Linked DNA regions of Caenorhabditis elegans. The protein of the gene in region 2 interacts with the protein of the main gene of each other region in a biochemical or structural test. Each region holds a gene or a part of one and is shown on either strand. Other genes may lie near its edges.

What was found.
Region 1: of the proteins of spv-1 (region 2) and cdc-42, one has a biochemical effect on the other in vitro, tested with the Caenorhabditis elegans proteins (one study listed by BioGRID).
Region 3: of the proteins of spv-1 (region 2) and rho-1, one has a biochemical effect on the other in vitro, tested with the Caenorhabditis elegans proteins (one study listed by BioGRID).

What each region holds. Positions count from the first base shown.
Region 1 is NC_003280.10:7,614,688-7,618,845, reverse strand, and holds cdc-42 (Cell division control protein 42 homolog), read right to left. Parts: upstream 2,395-4,158; 5' UTR 2,390-2,394; coding exon 2,267-2,389; intron 2,214-2,266; coding exon 2,049-2,213; intron 1,999-2,048; coding exon 1,801-1,998; intron 1,456-1,800; coding exon 1,366-1,455; 3' UTR 601-1,365; downstream 1-600. Other genes in the region: R07G3.8 (CYRIA/CYRIB Rac1 binding domain-containing protein), read left to right, coding at 237-332.
Region 2 is NC_003280.10:7,925,570-7,930,274, reverse strand, and holds the start of spv-1 (Spermathecal Physiology Variant), read left to right. Parts: upstream 1-1,619; coding exon 1,620-1,770; intron 1,771-1,852; exon of another isoform or gene 1,853-1,930; intron 1,931-2,100; coding exon 2,101-2,238; intron 2,239-2,729; coding exon 2,730-2,817; intron 2,818-2,973; coding exon of another isoform or gene 2,974-3,005; intron 3,006-3,686; coding exon 3,687-3,759; intron 3,760-4,631; coding exon 4,632-4,705.
Region 3 is NC_003282.8:16,482,910-16,490,746, reverse strand, and holds the start of rho-1 (Ras-like GTP-binding protein rhoA), read left to right. Parts: upstream 1-1,725; 5' UTR 1,726-1,780; coding exon 1,781-1,801; intron 1,802-2,318; coding exon 2,319-2,453; intron 2,454-4,599; coding exon 4,600-4,950; intron 4,951-6,683; coding exon 6,684-6,755; 3' UTR 6,756-7,837. UniProt on the Caenorhabditis elegans protein: Required for ventral migration of epidermal cells during ventral enclosure in the embryo and for cell elongation. Also required for ventral migration of P cells during larval development.

The DNA.
Region 1 (4,158 bases), 310 kb from region 2:
AATTCATCAATTTCGGACTGAAATTAATTTAAAAGAATAGCGGAAAGCATTTAAAGCAGACGAAAAATGTTTGAACATGTTCGAATTTCTAGTTTTCTGCGAATACCTAACGAGACCCAACAGTTTGTCCGTAAAGCGCGATTGCAAACGCGCTTTCAAAATGAGCATTTTTCTGCGCTTCCATAATAAAAATTAGAATAAAATTGAGCAACCCATATTAATTGTTTTATTTTCAGTCTGATTGTCTACTTGCTGGTCTTCGTTTCACAACAAAACATTATAATGATTCAAGTACTCCAAAATCTCTTCGTCATTTGATTGAAGTGAAATAATTTCATTTTTTGTCAATTTGTTCATTAATTCTAGTCATCCTTGCCTCTATTTTATGTTCTCTTATCGTTTCTAGTTGAAGCCCATTTCCTCATACACGGTGATTATGTTCCTCTCCTCGTCAAACAGTACTTTTTGTCAGTGATAATAATTATTTTTCGTTCCAATTCACCCACTCATTAATTATTTTTCTCAATGCCTTATGGTTCCGGTTCTTCTTTTTCTACAACACCCACTTGTATACTTTTCAAGATCTTTTATAAACATCTTAATTTTTTATATCACACCTTTATTGTTTTGGATCGCAAATATATAACAACAATATGTAGAAAAATTAAAATACAGAGTTGTTCTGGAGAAAGGAGGAGGGAGACACAAAACGTAGTGGATGAGAAAACAGTTTAAAATGGGAAATGGATGTGTGAAGGCAGAAAAGCACAAAAAAAAGGAAAGAAGAAAAACAAACTGGTCGGTATTTTTGAGCAGCAAATGAAGAAACAAGCGACTCGGGATGTAGTTGGTTGTGCTATACAACACCTATTATATAATTATAAAAAGAACCATGGGAAAGGAGAAGGCGCATTACGTAACGGTGTATCCGGACTATAAACACGTTTTGGGATAAAAAAGAAAATAAAAACGACGACGAAAATGTTAAAGAGGAGGTGTCATTGAAAAGAATGATAGTTAATTTGGATGAACTTTTAAAAATTTTCGAGGGGATTATTCGATAAAAATTCGAAAACAGATGAGAAACTATAAACTGCCCTGCTTATCGAAATTCTATACGAAACAATTAAAAAATTCTGGAATCATGCTCATCGAGATTCTACTGGATAAGTTACAGGAGACGAATTGAAGAAAATCATCTTCTATGATGCTGTCAAAAATAACAGCAACCGCTTCTCGTTTGGCATTTTTCAGGGAAATTTAGAAGTATGAGAAGAGTGGAAGTCGGGGGCTAAGAAAATTTGGACATAGAAAGAAAAACACAGTCACAAAACAGAGGAAAACATGGAGACAAGGAAGACGTTCCTAGAGAATATTGCACTTCTTCTTCTTCTCCTGTTGTGGTGGGTCGAGAGCGGCCAGAATGGCTTCGTCGAATACATTTTTCAGTCCCTTCTGAAAATAAACTATTTAAACTTCAATATACAAGCGTTTTTAATCAACATAATATGAAAACTATGGTATTTTCAGCCGGAATATAGAGCATTTCAGGAGATAATTTTTTGCACAATAAAAACAGAATTCTGGTTGTTCGTTTTTCCCGAAAACATGACCGTTGCTAAATATAAAGCAACAATTTAACTGAAAAGTGATATTTATATTTTAAAGTGTCACGTATTTCCACAAGAGCCTCGTTTTAATATTTAAAAATTTATTATTTGATTAGGTTTCGTGGATTGGATGATATTTTATTTTAATGTTTCAATATTATCAATGACTATTTTGGAAAGAATGACTCACCTGCGTCAACGCTGAGCATTCAACGTATTTCACTGCTTTCAATTCCTTTGCCAACTTCTCTCCAACATCCGTTGACACTGGTTTCTGCTTGTTTTTTGCCAGTTTCTCGAGCATTCCTGGATCATCCCTGAGATCGACTTGAGTACCAACTAACAAGAATGGGGTCTTTGAGCAATGATGCGAAATTTCAGGCACCCACTAAAACAATTTCAGATATATAGAATAAATTCGAGAACAATATTTCTTACTTTTTCTCGGACATTCTCGAATGAAGCTGGAGCAACCACGGAGAAGCAAACAAGAAACACGTCGGTCTGTGGATACGATAGAGGCCTTAATCGATCGTAATCTTCCTGTCCAGCAGTATCAAACAATCCTAATGTGTATGGCTCGCCACCGATCATTACTGTGACCTGAAATTCGGAAATTATTTTTATATAAAATAATTTTTTTTTCTTAAACTTACGGCGTAATTGTCGAAGACTGTCGGCACATACTCAGAAGGAAACTTGTTTGTGGTATAGCTGATCAGGAGACAAGTTTTACCGACAGCTCCATCTCCAACGACGACGCACTTGATCGTCTGCATTTCGCCTGAAAAAAAAAATGAATAAAAGTATTAAAATTACGTCTTTATAGTGAAAAATACGGATGAGTCACATAAATGTGCACGCACACGTTTTAAAAGGAGAGATAACTAGAGAATGAAAACGAATTGCGAAACATCAGGCAGAAAATCAATAGTCTCTTTCGAAATGCCACGAGCGTTTCTTTACCATTGGGAGCAATAATTATCGAAGAAAGAGCAAGAAAAAAAAACGGTAAACGCCTTAATAAACGATGAAGAAATAAGGCAAAATGGCCAAAACAACTTGTGCGTATAATTCTTTAGATGAGGAATTTTGGCAATGATTCATCGGTAACTGGTCGGAAGTTTGAATCGGTTTTCCGTACCAAACAACTTGCATATATTTGAAACTAGTTATATTTAAGAAAAGGTACAAAAATAGGAATAATTCGACATGAAACACTGGAACATCTCAGTCAGGATTATGTTAGGGGAATTTGGAAGCAATGTTCAATAAAATGTCACGAAAATGATTTCAATAATTGTTAAACAGTCAGACAAACTTAAGCGGACCATTTTTTAAATAATTTAAAACATGATTGCTCCTTTCGAGAAAATTTATCAAATTAAAAACTGATAGGATACTTCGATCGTCTACCTACGTTTATTGATTAATTCTGCTCTTATAAATGAATAATCAATAATTAGAAAAAACAATAAAAGCCTGTAAAACAACGAAAAGCGTGAATGAGCTTTGTTGAACACGGCGAAAAAAGGAAAAAAAGAAGATGGTGGACAGTTTGTCGGCGAGCCTAAAGACGACCGCGACGCGGCCGCTCGCACTCATAGACTACGCTAGTGGTGAGATACGCAGAGAAAAAGACGAGAGAGTATTGAGAGAATGGAGACATCACTACATCTAACATAGGGTCGCCAGTCGTCACCGAATTATTGGATTCAAATTTAGGTCCCGTAACTCGTGAAAACTTATTAGATCGGTCAGTTATCTAGATAGAGTACTTGATTAGACAAATGATATCCCAGACTGGTCAGTTTCAGTCTAGAAATGACGCTGTAAACTTCGTAAAACCACCAAATAGGATTTCTAAAGTCATCATCTAGAATTTAAACTATATCTCACTTTGTTACGCTGTGAGGATATTATACATACATATTTTGTATGTAAGCTTAGTCTATAACTAGCGTAACCCGTTCCATGCTAACAGACGGGCGGCCATTTTAGTTTTTTATTTTTCCTGTGCGAACGATTGCCAGCCAGAAACTTCTTTCTTTTTTCTTGTTTCTCCTAGTGCAGAATATTTGTCCTCAATTTATAAATACCATCTCTAGAATATTAACTTCGATTGAATCCGTTGTGTTTTCCATTTTTTCTCAATTGTATTTCGTAAAATTAATTTTAAAATTGCCTTCTTTTTAATTTTAAGGTTTTATATTTCAATATGCTATTTCGTATTTTTTGTCTTACATTTCTAGATAGAATTCTAACAATGCTCCGATTGAATCTCACTCGCGAAATTTCTATTTCTCTTCTTTCACTTCAATCCAATCGACGATTCAATCTGCCCTAAATTTTTAGAATTGCATATTTTCTCTTGATAACTTCATTGTAAACCGTGTGAATTCCATGAAATTACATGTTCGTAATACTTTTCCCAATTAAAAGAAGAAAAATTTGGAGTTTCGATAACCGACGGCGCGTACTTCTCTTCTTCCTTATTGTTCGATCAATAGTCCCCCAATCCGGTTCCCTGCCGCGTCTCCTCCCTTTT
Region 2 (4,705 bases):
TTTCCGTTTCTTTTTTGTTTATTTGAAGCTATGTTTTGTGTATAGATTAACACTTTTTGTTTAAGTTACGCTGTAATAGTTTGTTTTTCTGGAAAAATAATGGGAACTGCAACAAGAAAATGCTCTTGTTCTAAATTATACTCTACAATATAATTTCTCTTTTCGAATTGTGACACAAAAACTGAAGAACAAAGACAATAAAGTTCGGAAATTGAAATTGAGTTCTCTTGAAATTTTTCTGAAAAAAAAGCACACATTTTTCCTTTTTTTCTGAATTTTCCGAAAAAAAGTTGTCCAGTTTCAAAAACAAAGCAAAAACAAAAACAAAGTTCCTTATTTTAAAAAGTTATTTTTTCCATTCTAGAGTGCTTTTTGAGCATTTCCGTTTCGTTCACCCAATCTGTGGAACCAACAAAAGAAAGCGTGGGGCAGAAAAAGGAAGAATCGCAGACGTCATCCTTCTCTCTTGTGCTCCAGAACATGATGATGATGATGCGGATAGGAAAAGGATAGTTTTTGAGAATTTTTTTGGGAAAAGTTTTCACACCATATTTTGAAAGATGTTTTTTCTCTATTTGAATTTATTTTCATTATTGAAACTGAAATTTCCGGGGTTTCCCATTTTGAAATTTTGAGAACAAGATATTCAGTTAAGAGAATAAATTCAATTATAAAATTGGATTTCTGTAGAAAATTTGTATCATCGTAGATAAAAAAAAAATGTAACGACAAAAATTGTATTCATTCATTTTTTATTTTCTACTGCTATTTTACATTCCGTTTCTGTTTTTTTTTTTTTGGAAAAATAACTTCATATATCCTATTTTCCTCTAAAAGATCCGTGTTCTCAAAATATCAAGAAAATTTCCTGATTCTTTCATTTTCAATAAACCGAACCCTTTGATCAAACCACAGTTCTTGCCAGTAGGCGTTTTCTCACGCATTTCAAGTATCTGCTCCTTTAAAAATTTTAAATTCAGAAATTCGAATCTTTTTGATGAATTCCTTTTTCAAACATTGTTGATTTTAAAATATTCTACTATCAAAATCGCGAAAAAGAGAAGGAATTCGTTGTTTTCACCAAAAAAAATGTATAACGGGAGTCTAATTGATTAGATCTGTCTTTTTTCTTTTTTCGTGACAAAAATGTGAATCCATGTATCTTGAAGCATTGCTTTTCAAGGTTTATGAACTTTCAAACCACCTCTGTTATCAATTTTTGAGATCAGTGAAACGTGAAAAAGAGGAATAGTTCCAGTAGAAAGGAAGGCATTTTTATTGGACTTTTTTTGAAAACTAGCTCAGTAGGAATAGAAAATAGATATATATTTTCCTGGAATGTGCTCTTGTTTTTCTCTAGTTCTCATTCCTAAAAGTATTCTGGAAGTGTCTGAAAAATTATGTCATATCTCTATCGCGCACAACTTTTTCACAATTAAAAACGGAAATATTTTCTTTGAAGCTCTTTTTATGATTATTGTTTTTTGTTGTCTTCCTTTCCTTCGTTGATCATGGAATACTCTTGTAATTGAAACCGCTTCAATGAGCTCTTTCTTTAATTTATTCTCAAATATTTTCAGACAAACTCTCAGAAAGTTGACTGAAATCAAGTCGACGCAATGTCGTCGACGAGCAGTATATGCTCTTCAAATGATGCCGATTTCATTGTTGACACCAGAATTCCGGCATCAATACGTAGAGATATTGATCGATTTTCAGTTTTTATAAATCGACTTCGGTCAACTTTGGATCTCAATTCTTCGGTTGTTGGTATGTCTGAAAATTAAATTTTTTTAAAAATTATTTATAGAGTGTAGCGGAAATTCAGGAAAACGCGCAAGGTTAAGAAAATACAACTAGATTTTTAAATGTAATGTTTCGGTGAATGGTTTAAAATTTGAAACTATTTTTCAGCAAAGCCTTGAAAATCGAAAAGCCTATTTAATAATGTACTAACAGTTATTTTGGAGCACTAAATGTTTTATCTGATCCTTGAAGTTTCCTACGATCGAACTGTAACTTCCAGAGCTTACATGTTTTTTTTTTAAATTAACGTTATGTAATACTCAACTTCCTCATCTGAAATTACAAATTTTGCAGACGGTGAATCAATGTGTGTAAATGTGCATGCATCATTGGAAATGGTGTCAGAATCCATGCGGGACTTGTTTAAATACTCTCAATTCAAAACAAATCCCATCATTTTGCTGTCTCTTCAACTTGTGCAAGCCGTCAAAGGTATGTGTAAGTGAGAGCATATTCTCTCATCTTCTTCTCTTCTGTTGCTCTTCTGCACACATTTCTCATTTAATTTTACTCTCTCTTTTCGTGGAAAAAGACAAAAAAAAGTTGTTTTATGTGCATCATCACAGGAATACTAAACGTATTTCATTAGGCCAATGTTCATTTTATTTCCGGCATCATTTGATAGTTCCTCTGATATTCCAATATATTTCAGTTTCAGAATTACTATTATTAGGTTTAATTCTAGATACATGTTATGTAATTGTTTATTAGGAGTTTGAGCTTTTACATAATTTTGTAAAAATTGTAACGATTTGACTTTATTGGCGTAGAATTTTATCAGTCATAAAACCTACAACGATTTCAAAAAAATTAATCTCAAAGTTTCATTCAATCAGTATAATCAATTTGTAATGCTGTTCCGTACACTGACACCAGTCTTCTCTGAACCTGTCAAGAGAAGTCTGAAAAATTGTTCATTCCAGACTTGAAATTTGATACGTGCTCTGTGGATACGACTCCGGTTCTGAACATTATCGATCAGCTGGAATCAGCTGTTTTAAACATCATTCTGTGAGTTCCCGTCACCTTCATTCCCACACACCCACATTTCTCACCTCGTTCTTTTTTCTTTCGATCTTCCTCTCTCAATGATTTGTTTCGGTTTGATTTTTGAGAGTTAGACGTTTTTCCCTCTACCGGTAGGAGGAATGCGTGTTTAGGTGAAATATGGATTTTGAACGAGGAAGGAATTGGATAAGGTAATTCAAAAACTCTCGAAAATTCTCTAAAACATTGTATTAATTAGAAAATTTAAATAGCTTGTTTTTTTAATTGGCAGTAGCCTTGAGAAATTGTTTTTAACCTGGTAGTTCGGAATTATATTTTTTCTTGCATCAAAAGATTGTTTAAAAAAATCAATTCAAGTTTTATATTTTTCGGAAAAATTGATTGAGCTTATCCTTTCTGTAAACTGAAACAATTCAAAAGTTAAACAAGCCATTTATTCATTCGATTTATTTTTGCATGGGAATATTGATCATTCACATCGTTTCAATTGAATGATGCTGTTTCAAATGTTCAAAATATTTTCTCTGCAAACGCTGCTCCGACGAGACGCTACTAGATTAACGGTCTACGCTCATATACCAAATCACGCATCCAGTAAAAAAGTGTGTCTAGTCGCGCCTTTTCTGTACCTTTTTGAAATATTTAATTGTTTAAAACTTTCTCACACAGATGGAAATGCCAATAAATATTGGCATTTCACTTTTCTGGTTATAACTAAAATGTTAGATTATTCAAGATTTAACAAAAAACGTTGTTTCCAACGAATTTAGATTCTTTCTAAGTAGAAAACTACGCAGGGTTTTTTAAAAATCTGAAAAGAGCGTTTAGTGTTATTGAAATTAAATTCAAAATTATTCATTATTCATTTTCAGAAACCGTCATATTGTTTCATCGGTTCATCATACGCCGAGTAGAAGTTCAACGTTAGGTCGCTGGAAACAAAATGTAAGCTGCATTCTGATCTACAAAAAAATCTTAAAATTGATATTCCAAAAATTTCGAGAAACGTTGTTTTTTGGTAGCGGTTGCTCTCCTGTTTCGTTTACATACACATACGTATTTTGTTTTTGTATGTGTCAATCCATGGTTTTCTATTTTCCCTTTTCTTCAACTTTTCGTTCTTCAATTCACTCCCAACCTTTATTCATAGTTCTTCTTTTTCAGTTCATTTACTAAATTATTTGTTTAATGCGGTCTCCCAGAAATAGGTCCTATGGGAGAGTAAGTTGAAACATATTTGATTAATAAGATTTTGAATAGTATAAAACAAAATTTCCTGCTGAAAAAGTGAAACATTTGAACATCTATTTATGTATGAGGAAAATGAGTTTCAGATTTTCTAAATCGTATTTGAAGTTCTTTAAATCCCAAGTCAGCGATGTCAAAATAGCAAACCAAAACCATGAGTCAGATGACAATATTCTCCTCAAATTTTCCAAAAATTATGCAAATTTTTTTATCTTATGTTCCTTGTGATCTGTTCAAATTTATTTCGAAAATTGTAAAACACAATTATTATAATATTTTTCTATTAGAATGAAACGTTTTATAAAAGCAAAATACGAAAATAATCCGGTAATGTTAACTAATAAACTTTCAAATTTAACATTTTTGATAGCAAGATTTCTGAAAAATGTTCCTAGTGAAAACTGTTCACAGTTGTTTTAAATTGTGGTAAAAGTTACTTTTTTGAATTTAAGTTTTGCTGCCTTGAATACAGTAACCTATTTATTCAATGACAGTTTAAACTAAAACATTTAAAAAAAAAGAATGTTTACTATTTTCTATAAAACTGCAATATTCTGATTCATTTTTAGAATTCCACTGATTCATATCTACGGCAGAGTGGTCCTCTTAACTCAGTATCTCAAACATTGCAACGGAGACATTC
Region 3 (7,837 bases), on a different chromosome or scaffold from region 2:
ACGACCTCCATCCGTGCCTCATATTCAATTTTTTCATCTCTAAAATTGTTTTTCACCAAATTCATAAAAATGGGAAAATTTTAAATCTGTAAATTCTCAGGCAGGTTTCAGGCAGGCAGTGGAACCGCGCCTGCCTACCATGGAAGTCCTAGTTCCCGTAATATGGTCGATTTTCGAAGAAAAAAAATCCGGCACTTCCGCTGACTCACGTAGTGCCAGGCTGCTGTCCCATCACGGGTTGATCTACAAAAAATGCGGGAATTTTTTTGGCCCAAAAATACGTGACGTCAGCACGTTCTTAACCATGCGCGAAATCAGTTGAAAAGTCTGCGCGTCTCAATCAACTCCCGCATTTTTTGTAGATCAACGTAGATCAAGCCGAAACGGGACACACTCTGACCACATTTCCGCTGACTAATTGTGATCTACTTCTTATCATCCCGCCAACCTCCCCCGCCACACCCCAGTTTTTTCAGACATTCCCCACTATCGGTTTGAATTTTCTTCCTCTCACCTCCCTCGCCACTCTCTCTCTCTCTTTCACACAAGATGAATCATCATTGGCATTCAATTTGCAAATCGATGTCTCCGCTCTCTGTGTTCTCTGTGTTCTCTGTGTCTCTCCCCACTCTCTCTCTCTCCCATCATCATCATCATCACTGTACCATTCTCTATGTCAGTGTCGTTGTGTGTGTGTGAGTGGTGTGAGTGGGGTGTCTCCAACCAACACATACAGTAGTGACTCACTACCAGTGATCTACCCAGTGGCCATAATTTTTGACGTCTATACGTTTTTTTTTTGCCGAAAAAATTGCTCCAAAAAAGCAATTTTTGTGGTTTTCCAAGCGAAAATCTGGAAATTTTCTGAAAAATTCCATTTTCACCGTTGAAAATTGCGATTTTCGTGATTTTCCACGTTTTTGAAGTTTTTCGGCCATTTTCAAGCTATTTTCCGTTGCTCGAATTCGGTTGAATTCCACCAAATGCACAAATTTGTTCAGAAATTTGGAAATTCGCCGGATTTTCATGGATATTCTGGAAAAATTCCATTTTTTAACGTTGAAAATTTGGAATTTTCGGTCAAAATACGACCAAATTCACAAATTTATTTGGAAATTTGAAATTTTTCTGCGAAATTCCATTTAAAAACGTCGAAAATTCCATTTTTCCATAGATTTTCGTGGCGAAAACTTAAATTTCCACCCTTTTCAAGCGATTTTTCCGTTGAAAAAGCGACCAAATTCACAAATTTGGCCGAATGAATTTCACGGAAAATTTTGAAATACCTCCTTAAAGGCGCAGGGACTTATTCAGATGGGTCTCGCCGCGAGAACACAGTTTTTTTAAATTTTTGTGGCTTTTTCAATGAAATTACTTGATTTTTAGCGAATTTTGTCGTTTTCCTCTCATTTTTTTTGGTGATTAAGACAATTTTCACCAAAAAAATGGGAGAAAAACGACAAAATTCGCTAAAAATCAAGTAATTTCATTGAAAAAGCCACAAAAATTAAAAAAAACTGTGTTCTCGCGGCGAGACCCATCTGAATTAGTCCCTGCGCCTTTAAGGAGGCATGTGTCGAATACTCATGAAATTGCTCATTTTCAAGCGATTTTTCCCGATAAAAGCCCATTTTTCTCGCATTTTCTCCTGTTTTTTCTCTTTTAAATATTTGTTAATCTCAATTTTCCAATCTAATTTTTTCTAATTTTCCCTTTTTTTTGCAGGGCTCTACGGGTGTTCCCTCTCGCGTTCCTCACTCACACACACACATAGAGATAGATGGCTGCGATTAGAAAGAAGGTGAGCAGCAGCTCCTCTCATTCTGATGCTCCGCGGCTCATTAAATTGTGCTCAATTGGAGAGAAAATTGGAGAAAAAACGACGAAAGTCGATAAATTCTCCTTGAAATTACAGAAATTTCAGTTTTTTCAGCAATTTTTCGCGAAAATCGATGTTTCTCGGCGATTTTGGGGCTCTGAAGCCATTTTCATTGAAATTTAGTGAAAAAAATATGTGTTTTATCTAAAATAACTGAAAAATGGCTCAAAAATTGTCGAAATAATAGTTTTTGACAATTTTTGAGCTCTTTTTCAGTTTTTTTCAGATAAAATACATATTTTTTCACTAAATTTCAATGAAAATGGCTCCAGAGCCCAAAATCACACGAAAATATCGATTTTCACGAAAAAAAACTGAATTTTTTGTCATTTCCCTTGATTTTGAGGCGAATTTATCGATTTTTGTCGTTTTTTTCCCGAAAAAATCGAAATTTTCTCGGAAATTCCACTTTAAAATTGACTATTTTTTTGTTTTGCAGTTGGTGATCGTCGGCGACGGAGCCTGCGGTAAAACTTGCCTGCTCATCGTTTTCTCAAAGGATCAGTTCCCAGACGTGTATGTGCCGACTGTTTTCGAGAATTATGTTGCCGACATTGAAGTTGACGGAAAGCAGGTGCGGATTGGATGAAGAAATTGTGAAAAAATGCGATTTTTGAGCCGAAAATCGAGTTTTTCGTTCGGAAATTGACCAAAATGAAGGAATTTGTGATTTTTGAGCTGAAAATCGTGAAAAATTGCGATTTTTGAGCTAAACACGTTGTTTTTTCGACAAATTTTGACTAAAAGGAGCAAATTTGTGCTTTTCAGCCGGGTTTGAGCTTATCATTGAAAAAATTGGCTCGAAACAGTGAAAAATCGCGTTTTTTGAGCTAAAAGTCATGTTTTTCCGATAAATTTTGACTAGAAGGAGCAAATCTGTGATTTTGAGCTGAAAATAGTGAAAAATTGCGATTTTTGAGGAAAAAAAATCGTATTTTTGAGTCGAAAATTGCCTTATATTTTTTTAAGCTGAAAATCGTGTTTTTCAGCTATTTTTTTGCTGAAAATTCCCTATTTCTCAAAGTTTTCGTGAAAATTCCCCGTTTTTTTTACCAAAAATTTAAGAAAAATTGGCAAAAATGACTGTTTTTCGCCTATAAATTGACTGAAATGCACACACAAATTTACGATTTTAAGCAAAATTTTGAGGAATTTTGAGAGATTTTTCAGAAAAACTTGTGTGTTATTTTTCGAGAAAAACAGTATTTTCTGCCATTTTTTTACCTAAAAATCCAGGTTTTTAGCTAGAAATTCAAAATTTTCCAAAAAATGCCAATTTTTTGCTGAAAATCCGAGTTTTCGCCCCCCGAAAATTCGAATTTTTTATCCAACAATCCAAATTTTAAACCTAAAACTCCTGGTTTTACACCAGAAAATTCGAATTTTCTCATCTGAAAATCCAGGGTTTTTCACAAGAAAATTCGAATTTTTTACCCGAAAATCTAAGTTTTTCCTCTAAAAATCCAATTTTTTAACCTAAAAAATTCAAATTTTTGCTGAAAATCCAAGTTTGCTAGCTGCAAATCCAGGTTTTTCCCTTTTCAAATTTTACCAGGAAATCTAAGTTTTTCGGCTGAAAATCCGAGTTTTTAGCCACAAAATATATAAATTTTTCCAAAAAAAAAACCAATTTTTACTTATAAATCCAAGGTTTTTAGCTAGAAATTGCCATTTTTCATATTTTAAAATCCAAAATTTTCACCCGAAAATCCAGATTTTTACTCTAAAAAATCCAATGGTTTTTACCTAAAAAAAATTCAAAATTTTCCGAAAAGTGCAATTTTTTTGCTGAAAATCCGAGTTTTTACCTCAAAACTCCAAATTTTTAACCTAAAAAATGCACATATTTTTCCTCTAAAAATACAATTTTTACCGAAAAATCCAGGATCTCTAGCTGACAATTCAATTTTTCATTAAAAATCAAAGTTTTCCCCAAAAAAACCATTTTTTTAGCTGAAAATTACAATTTCTTACCTAAAATTCCAAATTTTCCTCATAAAGATTTTACTTATCTAAAAATTCAAATTTCTAGAAAAAAATCCGAGTTTTCTTCTCTAAAATCCGTTGTGTTTTTAACCTTAAAAATTCAAATTTTTCCAAAAATAGCGATTTTTGCTGAAAATCAAAAATTTTCCCTAAAAATATCAATTTTTACCTGAAAATTCAAATTTTTCACCTAAAATTCCAAGTTTTCTAGCTGAAAATTCAAATTTTTCTAAAAAAAATAGCAATTTTTGCTGAAAATTTAAGTTTTTTACCCGAAAATCCAAGTTTTTAACCTAAAAATTCCAAATTTTCCCTAAAAATATCAATTTTTACCTGAAAATTCCAAGTTTTTAACCTAAAATCCAATCCAAAATTTTAGCCTAAAAAATTCATATTTTTCCTTTAAAAATACCACCATATTTACCTAAAAATCCAGGTTCTCTAGCTGAAAATTCAAATTTTTCTAAAAAAAATAGCAATTTTTGCTGAAAATCCGAGTTTTTCGCCCGAAAATTCAATTTTTCATCCAAATATCCAAATTTTAAACCTTATAAATTCAAATTTTTCCAAAAATAGCGATTTTTGCTGAAAATCCAGATTTCTTCCTCTAAAAATTGAAATTTTTAACCTAAAAAATGCATATTTTCCTCTAAAAATACAATTTTTACCTAAAAATCTCGGGTTTTCCCTAAAAATTCAAATTTTTTCACTTAAAAATCCGAAATTTTCTGCAGGTCGAACTTGCTCTATGGGATACAGCTGGACAAGAGGACTATGATCGTCTGCGTCCACTCTCTTATCCGGATACTGACGTCATTCTGATGTGCTTCTCAATTGATTCACCCGATTCACTGGAGAATATTCCAGAAAAATGGACACCAGAAGTCAGGCATTTCTGTCCAAATGTTCCGATTATTTTGGTCGGAAATAAACGAGATCTTCGTAGTGATCCACAGACTGTTCGAGAATTGGCAAAAATGAAACAGGAGCCCGTGAAGCCTGAGCAGGGACGAGCAATTGCTGAGCAAATTGGAGCATTTGCATATTTGGAGTGCTCTGCGAAGACTAAGGACGGAATTCGTGAGGTACAACAAGCAGCAGTAGCACCGAATTGAGAGATGGAAATTATTTTGGAAATTGAGCGAAATTTTTGGAAATTTCAGCCGAGAAAACCCAAAAAATTTTGAATTTTTATGAAAAAAAGGGTTTTCAGAAAATTCGAGCTCAGAATTCCAATTTTTCTGCAAAAAATGATGACTTGCGAAGAAAAATTGGAAATTGTGCGAAATTTCCAGAAATTTCAGCCAAGAAAACCCAGAAAATTGCAATTTTTATGACATTCTAATGATTCGAGCTCAAAATTCGTGATTTTTGCGAAAATTTATATTTTTGACGATTTTGGCCTCTAAAAAGCTGTAAAAACTGCAAAAAATCCGAATTTCAATATTTTATGGGAAAATTGGGTGGAATTTTCGGAAATTTCAGCCTCGAAAACCCAGAAAATTGCAATTTTTATGAAAAAAAAAATGGATTTTCAGTGATTTTCTGAAGATCCGAGCTCAAAATTCCAAATTCGACGATTTTGGGATATAAAAAGCTGCAAAAATCCAAAGTTTTCGTGAAAAATTTTCCGAAAAGTTGCAAATTTGTGGAAATTTTCCAGATTTTTTGAAAAAAAATTTTTCAATTTATGTGAAAAAATGAATTTCTTATGATTTTTTAAAGATCCGAGCTGAAAATCGACGATTTTGTGCTCTAAAAACTGAAAAATCTGAAATTTCAATTTTTCATGGAAAATTATGGAAAAATGATTGGAATTTCCGGAAATTTCAGCCGAGAAAACCCAAAAAATTTTGAATTTTTATGAAAAATTCCAGATTTTGGCGAAAATCGATATTTTTCGACAATTTTGGGCTCTAAAAGGCCGTATAAATTTAAAAAAAAACTGATATTTCAATCTTTTTCTTGTAAAACTTCACCTGGAAGATATTTTCGATATTTTTCGACAATTTTCCGACAGTTTCAGCTGAATTTTCTAAATTTTTTGGAAATTTGGCCTAAATTCAGTCAAAAATCCGATTTTCGCTTCGAGACCCAAAAACATTGATTTTTTTAAATGAAAACTTAAAATATGTCCAAAAATTTCGATTTTCCAAAAGTTTAAATTACAAAAAATTCAATTTTTTTGGAGAAAATCACTTTAAAAAAATATTCGAAAAATTGGAAAAATTACAGATAAAAATTCAATTTTTGCGGAAAAAAAAATCGTTCTATTTTGAACAGAAATTTTCGAATTTCCCACAATTTTTTCCAATAAAATTTAAAAAATGGCTCAAAATTGAGCTAAAAGTCTCAATTTTCAACAAAAGTTCATCTAATTTTCCCCCAAATTTCCAATTTTTTCCAAGAAAATCGAAAAAAAGTTATTTTTCTGATTTTCTTTTAAAAAAAAAATTCAGCTAAAATTCTCACTTTTCCATTGAAATTTCCCCGAATTTCCAATTTTTCAGAAAAAAATTTGGAAAAAAGTCTTTTTTTTTTTAATTTTAATAAATTTCAGTTCAAATTTGAGGTTTTTAGCTCAATTTTGAGCCATTTTTCTGATTTTCATTGAAAAAAAAATAATTTAGCTGAAATTCACCAGTTTTCCCCCAAATGTTCAATTTTTTCAAATAAATTTTTAAAAAAAATTTACAATTTACAATTTTTTCCTGATTTTTTTCCAGAAAAAAGTGAAAAATTGCTCTAAAAGTCTCAATTTTCAGCTAAAATCCGAAAAAAAATCGATTTTTTTTTCACTAATTTTTTCCAATTTCAGGTATTCGAGAAGGCGACACAGGCGGCATTGCAACAGAAGAAGAAAAAGAAGAGCAAGTGCATGATTTTGTAAATCAATCGATAAAATGTCTGCTCTTCTTCTCTCTAATTCTCTCGTTTTTTCTCTCCCTCTTCAAAAATTGATTTTTCATCATTTTCCCCCCATTTCCCCCATACAAAATTTGAAATTCGCGCTTCTCTATTCCAATTTTTTGAGGTGGTGGCCGTGGCCTTGAAACTTGAAAAAGTTAGGCCACCGCTCTCTCTCTCTTTCTCTCTGAAATTCCAAATCACACATCTCCTCTCCCGCCCACACACACACACACATTTTATAGCTTAATCCCCGAATTCCCCGAATTAAAAAAAAAATTTCCGTTTTTTTTTTTGATTTTCACAATGTCAAACTGTGTTATTCCTCCGTTACCCCTCCGACGCGCTTACACACTTTTTTCTTTAAAAAATAATTTTTTCTCTGCCAAAATCACTAATTTTTCATTTTTATTGAAAAAACCTCCATCGCCCCATCGCTACTTTCCTATCTTAGCTTCAATGTAACAGGTTTCTATTTTTTTTTCGTCGAATTTTTTTTCCTAGCGAGCTTTAGCCAAGGATGCCGTTTTTCGACGATTTTGTAGAAAATTTTTTCAAAAAAATTGGACAATTGGCCAAAATTGAGCTATTTTTTGAGAAAATCCGGAAAAAATCGGAAATTTTCCGTTTTCTCCTGAAAAATCGGAAATTTCCCTTTTTTTTTACGAAAAAATCGATTTTTAGCTATTTTTCGAGAAAATCTGAAAAAACAAAAAAATTCCGTTTTCTCCTAAAAAATCGGAAATTTCCCGTTTTTTTAAATGAAAAAATTGAAAAAAAAAAATCGATTTTCACCACATTTTGAGATATTTTTACTGAAAAATCGGAAAAAAATCGAAAAATTTTCGATTTTTAATGAAAAATCGGAAAAAATCGAAAATTTTTCGATTTTAAGGACTCTTGGCTCCAGAGCTTGCTCCAGAAAAAAATTATCGATTTTTCTCGATTAATTTAAGAAATGCGTGCGATATTTGTAACATTTTCCTCTCTCTTTCTCTATTTCTCTTCGTCTCTCCCTCTCTCCAGCAGCAGCAGAAGCTCCCCCCCATACATCTTTAATGGTTT